Linked DNA regions of Coturnix japonica. The protein of the gene in region 2 purifies or fractionates together with the protein of the main gene of each other region. This does not show direct contact. Links are inferred from orthologs where the notes say so. Each region holds a gene or a part of one and is shown on either strand. Other genes may lie near its edges.

Region 1 (3,748 bases), on a different chromosome or scaffold from region 2:
GAAATGGGCTCATTACACAACTCTGGTTCTTATGAGGCATTTAAATTCTTAGGGGACGACCACAGCGGTTCTGCACAGTGACAGGGAAAATACACCAGCATCACAGCAGGCAGCTGAGGAAGGGTGGAGGATACAGCAAAAGGGATGACAGCCACCTTGCCAGAGAGCACTCAGAAAAGTCACTGTAAAAGCAGCAGTGTGTTCCTAAAGGAACTTCCCACCCAGAGCTCTACACCACAGACTGCCAGGCTTTAGAACCATGGCTGAACTGAACTTCTTTGGTTACCCGGTGCCAGCCATACGTATCAGGTTTCCAAGCACCTACGGCTGCTCCCCTTATCTGTTTTATATCGCAGCCCACAGACTGGCCTAATCATTAGGCAGAAACAGCCATTAATGCAAACAAAGACAATCAATTCCTACCTTCTGTCCAGACTTTATAATCTGATAGTTTTATTTCTCCCTTAAATATCCACTTTTTTACTCAACAAATGTTATTTCCCAACAAAGCAAAGAACTATAATGCATAACCTGCATAAATTAATTTATTGTTGCTGTGCAACGTTGCAGCTTTATTGTTAAAACTGCCTGTATCTCATAAATCATCACATATAACATTGCAGCTTCTTCAAGCTCCAGCAATCCAGGCCTCTATCTTTGCCAGCAGATCTCAGACGACACTTTCAGGTACCTCAGAGCTGTTTTTAAGAACCAATTTTCTACAGCTGTTCTAGAACTGCATCAATCTACTGCATCAATAAGAGAAGGAACACCTGTGCCCCTATGTGGATTGCATACAGCTAATGGGGCTTTTCCAAACAGAATTACTACTCCAACTCTGAAAATAAGAGTGTACATAAATACTTTTTATTTTCCATTGCTTCTCAAAGAGGCACCATTTATGAATATCTACAGTGAAATCTGCTGACAGTAGGTTTAGTACAGAACAAGTAAAGCGTCCATACACAGAAGCCATAAATTAACATGCCTGTATCACCAGCAGCACTGTGCTGCATAAAGTAACTTATATATTAACAATCTTATTTAACTGCTACAGTTAAACCACTCTGTAACCACTAAAGCACTTACACGAGTAAGAAACTAATAACGATACCTTCTTCAGCAAAGAATTTTTCTACAGGTCCCACAAACTGGTTGATCTCCTGCAGTTCTTCATTGCTGATTTCTGGGTAAGGGAAAACTTCTTCCTAAAACAATAGACATCAAAAACAAAAAGCATCACTAACGCAACTGAAAGAAAAGCTGAACGAGTCCTTAAATACCAGGCTCTAAAAGCTGTGAAAATCCAGGACTGTGGAAAGCATTGAGGGATTTTATCTGATGCAGCAAATGGGACTTGACTAAGCTTCATAGCAAAGTGTATCAGGGACACTGAGCAGAAACAAGAACCTTCAAGGATTCTAAGGATACAAAAACCTGTTGTTAACCACACAGCGCTCAGGGCCTGCCCCAGCCTGACCTTGAACATCCCCAGGGACAGGGCACCGCTGCCTCTGCTCCGTGCCAGCGCCTCAGTTGAAGCACTCAGAAGTGAAAAACTTCTTCCTTATATCCAATCCAAATCTGTCCTTTGATTTGAAACCATTCGCTCTCATCCTGTCACACAGATCCTGCTACAGAGTCAGCTCCCTTTCTTCTTGCAGTGGTTGCTGTGCCATGGAGCAGGCCTCAGCTGTGTTGCAGCTCATCAGGATCACCTGTGCCGGCTGCTGTAACCCATTTGGATCTCCCTGGATCTGGTAAATGCTACCATTTCCCAGAAGCGCTCTATTAAAACTCGAGGGGAAAACAGGCACCAACAGGCACTAAACGGGATGGAGTCTGACCACGACTCACCCAACTCCCTGCTCCACGAGCTCTCAGTACTTTGTTGTTAAACTCATCTCGGTAGACTATTAGTTGTTACACTCACACAGGAGCTGACACAGGAGCTCACACACACACACTGGAGCTCACACACACACACACACACACACTGGCAGGAGACACACACACACACACACACACTGGAGCACACACACACACACACGCACACACACACGCACACACACACGCACACACACACGCACACACACACGCACACACACACGCACACGCGCGGACCGAGGGCCGCTCGGCCCAGTACCCCGAGGAGCCCTATGGAGCCCAACGGAGCCGCCCAGCACCGACCCACCCGCCTGTCGGTGCCGACCCCGCCCGTCTCCATGCTCCGGAGGCCGCAGCCCCGCGCTCACCTTGCGCAGCTCCCCGAGGAACAGCTCCTTGGCATAGGCCGCTCGTGGCGTTGCGGTTCTCAGGCGGCGGACGGCGGCGGGTCCGGGCAGCGCAGCGCGCAGGGCGCGCACCAAGAGCCCGTTCATGGCAGCACGGACCGAACCGGGGCGGCTGTGAGTGAACGGGGCGGAACCGGCCTGACCCGGAAGGCGCTGAGACGCAACGAGAACGAGGGGCGGGACCTGCTGTGTCACACCGCCATCTAATGCCGGCTCCCAGGCTGCTGTTCATCGCACCGCCTTCCTATAAGGGCCGCCCCGCTGCCAGCTGTACAGTGACCGCGCAGCGATGTCAATTTCAGCCTATTCCACATAGAACTGCTCTCATAAGAAGGAATTAATACAACAGATATTTGGATCAGCAAACGACTATCATAACGTTACCCTACAGCTGGTTCGTTTGTTCTTTTTCCCTTTTTATTCTATCTTTCAGTAACTGCTTAACAACTGCTATTCAATCATATAACTCATCGAGGGATGCGTACTTTACTCACTGAAGAAGAATCACTCCTGACTCTGAATATGTTAAAGAAAGTTGGTTTACAATTCAAATCCTGTGAAAGGTGAGAGCAGAATCTGGTGTTCCCACTTCTGTTCCCAGTGAATTGCTGTGGAAGCAATGTCACACTGGAAACACAGACATGAACAGTGGCATTGTAATGTGTTTGTCCAGGTAATCCTGCATCCTGAATATTGGACTGTGGCTACCATAAGTACCTGAGGAAAAGAAGTAAATGCACAGCGTTAGTGGAAGGGATTGCCCACGTCTTACAGGCAAATCAACAATTAACTCTATCAATCCTCATTCTAGAAGCTCTACATTATCTCAGCGCTTTACTTTCTAAAGTATTCTAATACAAACAAGGAACAACTTATGCGATGTATTCATTAAAAGGGTTTCACCAACTTAATTTGCTCTGTTGTTGGGGAAGAAATAGTAGCCAGTAAAGTGAAAGTAATAATGGATGAAGAGCATTTGGTGACCTTATGGAGGAGGTGGATGCTCACAGGAGTCCTGTCAAGGTCAGGCATTCAGCACAAGTCACGCTCCTCTGCTCCTTTCTCCTGCCCCCCCAGTGCAGCATTCCTTTCCTACTGGCACAAACGGTACCATGCTCTCATCTCCTGCTCCCTTGCCTGACCTACAGCACAGCTGTGCCAGGCACATGGGGAAACTGTGAGGGACAGGGACTGCTGGTTTGTATGGCTGCAGGAAGGACAGGTCAGTCCAACAATCATGTGCATAGGAAGGGCTGCACGTCTTTAGCACTGCTGGATCCAAATACATTGCAAATCCATGTCTGAAAGTCGAATAAAAACAATTTCACAGTGCTAATTATGAAATGAATTTCCAGCCGTGAGTAACTGTGATACCATTGCTGAATAACGTAACCTCCTAACTCAGAGCACTCGCACAGCACTTTCACTTTCTATTCCCCTTGGCCAAAGAAAGA
Region 2 (3,748 bases):
AGTTTTGATCAGTTCCACCTTTTCCTCTTTGGTGTAACTATTTTCTGTCCTGTGTAGTACAATGTGAAGCGTAATGAAAAGAACTTGATTCTTAGTACAGCAGTTTCACTGTCGCTGTTCATAATACACATGCATACAGTAACTATCCATCAGAAAGGGCCGTACAAGTTTTCCCAGTTTATCTACAAATTGAGCCCTCAACTTCTGGGATATATTAAAATTCATCATGTTAAAACTGCAGAGTTCCATGGTTTATGAAAGCATTTGAATTTGCAACCGAAGGGTTCATCCCTAATAAAAGTTACTACAAGGCAAAGTGAACTCAGAAACATTTTCCTGGCATTCTAAGACCTTTTTTTTTTTTTTTAAGGAACAGAATTTTAAAAGCATTTTTCACTGCACAAGTAATCTTAACAATCATTTCCACAGATTAAGTCTAACAACCTGTGAATTTATTACAGAAGAAATTTACTGCAAGGAATAATTAGTCTTCAGCACTGTTCTTGCTTGCTTTCCAGCTGAAGACACCTTAAAGCCATCTGGTTACTGCAAAATTTGGCACAGAAGAAACAAATCTTACTGACGAGAATTATAGCTGAATTCAGAATAGCTGCTTTACTGCTACACATCATAAATAACAGGCGGGAAGACAGCAGAAAATTACTGACTTCTTTAATTGTTTTCTTTCTCAGCAGCCTGCACCTACACACACCGACACACAAATGCAGCTACGGTGACTTCAGCAGAGCACCTCACTGGTTTGAGCTTTAACATACCACTAACTTTTGCAGGATTCACAGTGAAACTATTTTCTTTTGCAGAAAAAATCCATCACATTGGCCAGCTATGGAAGGACAACAGCAGAGGAACAGACGAGATTCTCAAAATGCTATTCTGAGACCATGGTCTTCATGAATACGTGAGTCAAATCCCTTTGTACAGTCAAGGTGCGTCTGTATGCAGAACACCGAATGCGGGACTTAATGATGAAGGGGGAATTACCAACAATATATTTATTTCTCCCTAATGAAGCTTTTCTAATGAAATTTAATACTGCCAAGGTTGCGAGATATTTGAAACAGGAGCCCATTTCAAACCTTTCAGCCAAATGCTGGTGATAGCATTAGCGAGGCGTGGGAATCGAGTCTGTACGTAGTGCTGTAAGAGAAAATGAGCTGAGGGGAGCGGGCTGAACAAAGCAAAGCAAAATAGAAAGAACGATGGCTTCAGACCAAAGGAGTAAAGGAGTACACACTTGTTATTAGGCCAAATGTTTTGACCTGCTGGTTGGGAACATAGAAGAGAAAGAGGCATGAGAACTGGCTGGATGATGTGACTCAAAAACTTAATTTCGCATCACACAGTAAATTTATTATTATCTTTTTCTTAAGATGCAAATCAGAATAATTAATTCAAGTTATTTGCTGTAGCATCATTGCAAGTGAATTTTCAACATATATTTCAAAAGGTTTTGGAATGTTTCCAAAGCTGCAAACACTAAGTATTTTCAGGGTATTTGTACGGTAAGCCTTTCCTATTTACGTATGTAATATTTAAGCCCATAATATTTGAGCCTTAAGTTTCAAGGCAGAATTAATAATCCAGGTTTGTATTAGAGAAGAAACAGTTTATTCAAAGCAAAAGGGGCGAGGAGAAAAATTATCTCGTACTTAGCAACATGTAACACAAACCACAGTGCAACGTGGGATGCGTGGAAGGAGCTACAAAACATCAGCTTACACATAGGAGCTGTAGTTTGAATAGAGCCCAGCTTTTAGGCACCAGATCCCCCAGCACACACAGCGGGCAGAAAGCAATTCGTCGTGCTTCCCCAAAGGTTCCGGGGAAAACCTCCTGGAGAGAGCAGCACAGAAGGAGGATCTCAGCAAATCACAAAGTGCACGAGAAGGACTAAACAATGCGATACTCCTATTGCCCTGAACGAAGTCAAGGGATGTGTGAATCTGATACCGTGCTGAAGAAAATTCCCGTTAATAAATGTGATTAAATGTTTATTGGTTAACCGTGCGCATTTAATAGCTAAACTTTCACCCTGCAGAACACAGCACCATTCGAAAGGTCCGAGCACAGGAGCTGTGTTCCATCGCTAATTTCCGTTAGCGGCTGTTCGCTGCGCTCGGGCATAACGTAACGCTCCAAAAAGTGTATTTCAAGCGCATCAATCACTCGAGAAATTTTCCTCACAGGAGCAATTGCAAAAAAAAAAAGAGCATAACTAACTTTATTTAAACGCACATTTCAGTTTGCAATAGAATAACTAACCGAAGCTGGCTTAAGGTAAAGCCGGACGGTCCGCAGCGCATCAAATACCCGCACCGATTAACCCCGCCGCAGCCCGTACGACCCGACGTGCTGTCGCGTTTCGCCCCGCAGCGCGTCCGCGGGAAGCGGCGGGGCCGGGACAGGCGCTGCCGTCCGCTCCGGGTCCCGTCCCGCTCCGCTCCGCGCCGTCCGTGGACGCGGGATGGACGCGGGCAGCCGCTCACGGAACCCGCCGCCTCCAGCCCATCCGCGGGTGCGGGGCGGGCAGCGGACCGTCGTTCCCCCGCCCGTACTCACCGGAGCCGCAGCGCTGCGGAGTGTGCGCGCCCGCCGCGGGCGCAGTGAGCATGTGCGAGGCAGGCGCGCATGCCCGCGGATAGGAGCGGAGCGGAGCGGAGCGGGGCGGCGGCTCCGCACCCCGCGCCGCGCCCTCCCCTCCCCGCCGCGCTTCCCCGCGGTGCGTGACCTCGCGAGGGTCCGTCCGCAGCGAGCCCGACCTGTTGCTTCCCCGCAGCGAGCCCGCCCCAGGGCAGCCCGCACCGCGCCGCCGGCCCCGCACAGCCGCGCACAGTCCCGCAGGCGGCCGTCCCGCCCCGCACCTACCGCACGCGTGGGGCCGCGCCGCCTCGCAGCCTGTGCCCTCGGAGCTGTCCGGCCGCTCGCTGCTGCCCGGCCCGGCGGAGGAGGAGCTTGCAGCGGCTCCCGCACGACGCGGGGCCCGGCCGGAGCGCGGGGCAGCCTCTTGTGCGGTCACCAACGTGTCCCCCTGAGCGATCCCGCTGCTCTGCCTGCTGTGCTCAGCGCTCCCCCGCGCTTTCTAACTTGCCGGGCCGTGCTTTCGCTTGCTAGCAGGTACTCCCTCAGCGTGCTTTCTGCTTTCAGCTTTATCCGGCCTGATGCTCTCAACTAAGGTTTAGCTGTATGTTTTTAAGAGGGATTCTTGGTTTAAAACGTGGGCATATGAACACAACATCGACTCCTGTGTCAATTTTTAAACCTCAATTTTAAAAGAATATTTGGAGGAAGTTTTTTTACACGCTCTCCCACACTACCACAAGACCTGCAGAGCTGCAGGAGCAGTCCCGCTCATACAAAGCATCCCTCTGCTCCCACCAACACGAGCATCGCACAGCTCCTGGTGGCCAGGGCTGAACTCCCCCCACCCCACGCCATCCTGCTTCTGCCTCCAACATCCCCGCAGGAATCAGGCTGCATCCGTGACCATATGGAGGCGGAAAAGCCAAAGAGCACAAAGGGTGTCTTTGTGCTTCGCCTCGTCCCAGCACACAGGTAGCACACATCCACCCCTGCCCACCAGCATACCTGCTTGCTGGGGAAGCAGCCTGGCCACGGTGGCATCGGGGTGTTTTGCTTCTGCACCCTGCTCTTCCTCTTTTCTCTCCTCTTTCCAGCTGTTCAGGGCAGGCTGCAGCTCTCCTGTTCTGGCTCAATAGTGGACGAGAGC

What was found. Proteins that work in one complex are often made in the same cells at the same time.
Region 1: the proteins of EYA2 (region 2) and ACAD9 purify together in Homo sapiens (affinity purification with mass spectrometry; 3 studies listed by BioGRID and IntAct, with this or other methods). This does not show direct contact. The link is inferred for Coturnix japonica from reciprocal best matches to the Homo sapiens genes EYA2 and ACAD9.

The regions. Positions count from the first base shown.
Region 1 is NC_029527.1:3,516,384-3,520,131, forward strand, and holds the start of ACAD9 (complex I assembly factor ACAD9, mitochondrial), read right to left. Parts: upstream 2,501-3,748; 5' UTR 2,382-2,500; coding exon 2,256-2,381; intron 1,209-2,255; coding exon 1,115-1,208; intron 1-1,114. UniProt on the Homo sapiens protein: As part of the MCIA complex, primarily participates in the assembly of the mitochondrial complex I and therefore plays a role in oxidative phosphorylation.
Region 2 is NC_029535.1:4,986,808-4,990,555, reverse strand, and holds the start of EYA2 (eyes absent homolog 2), read right to left. Parts: upstream 2,716-3,748; 5' UTR 2,652-2,715; coding exon 2,581-2,651; intron 2,014-2,580; exon of another isoform or gene 822-2,013; intron 1-821. UniProt on the Homo sapiens protein: Functions both as protein phosphatase and as transcriptional coactivator for SIX1, and probably also for SIX2, SIX4 and SIX5.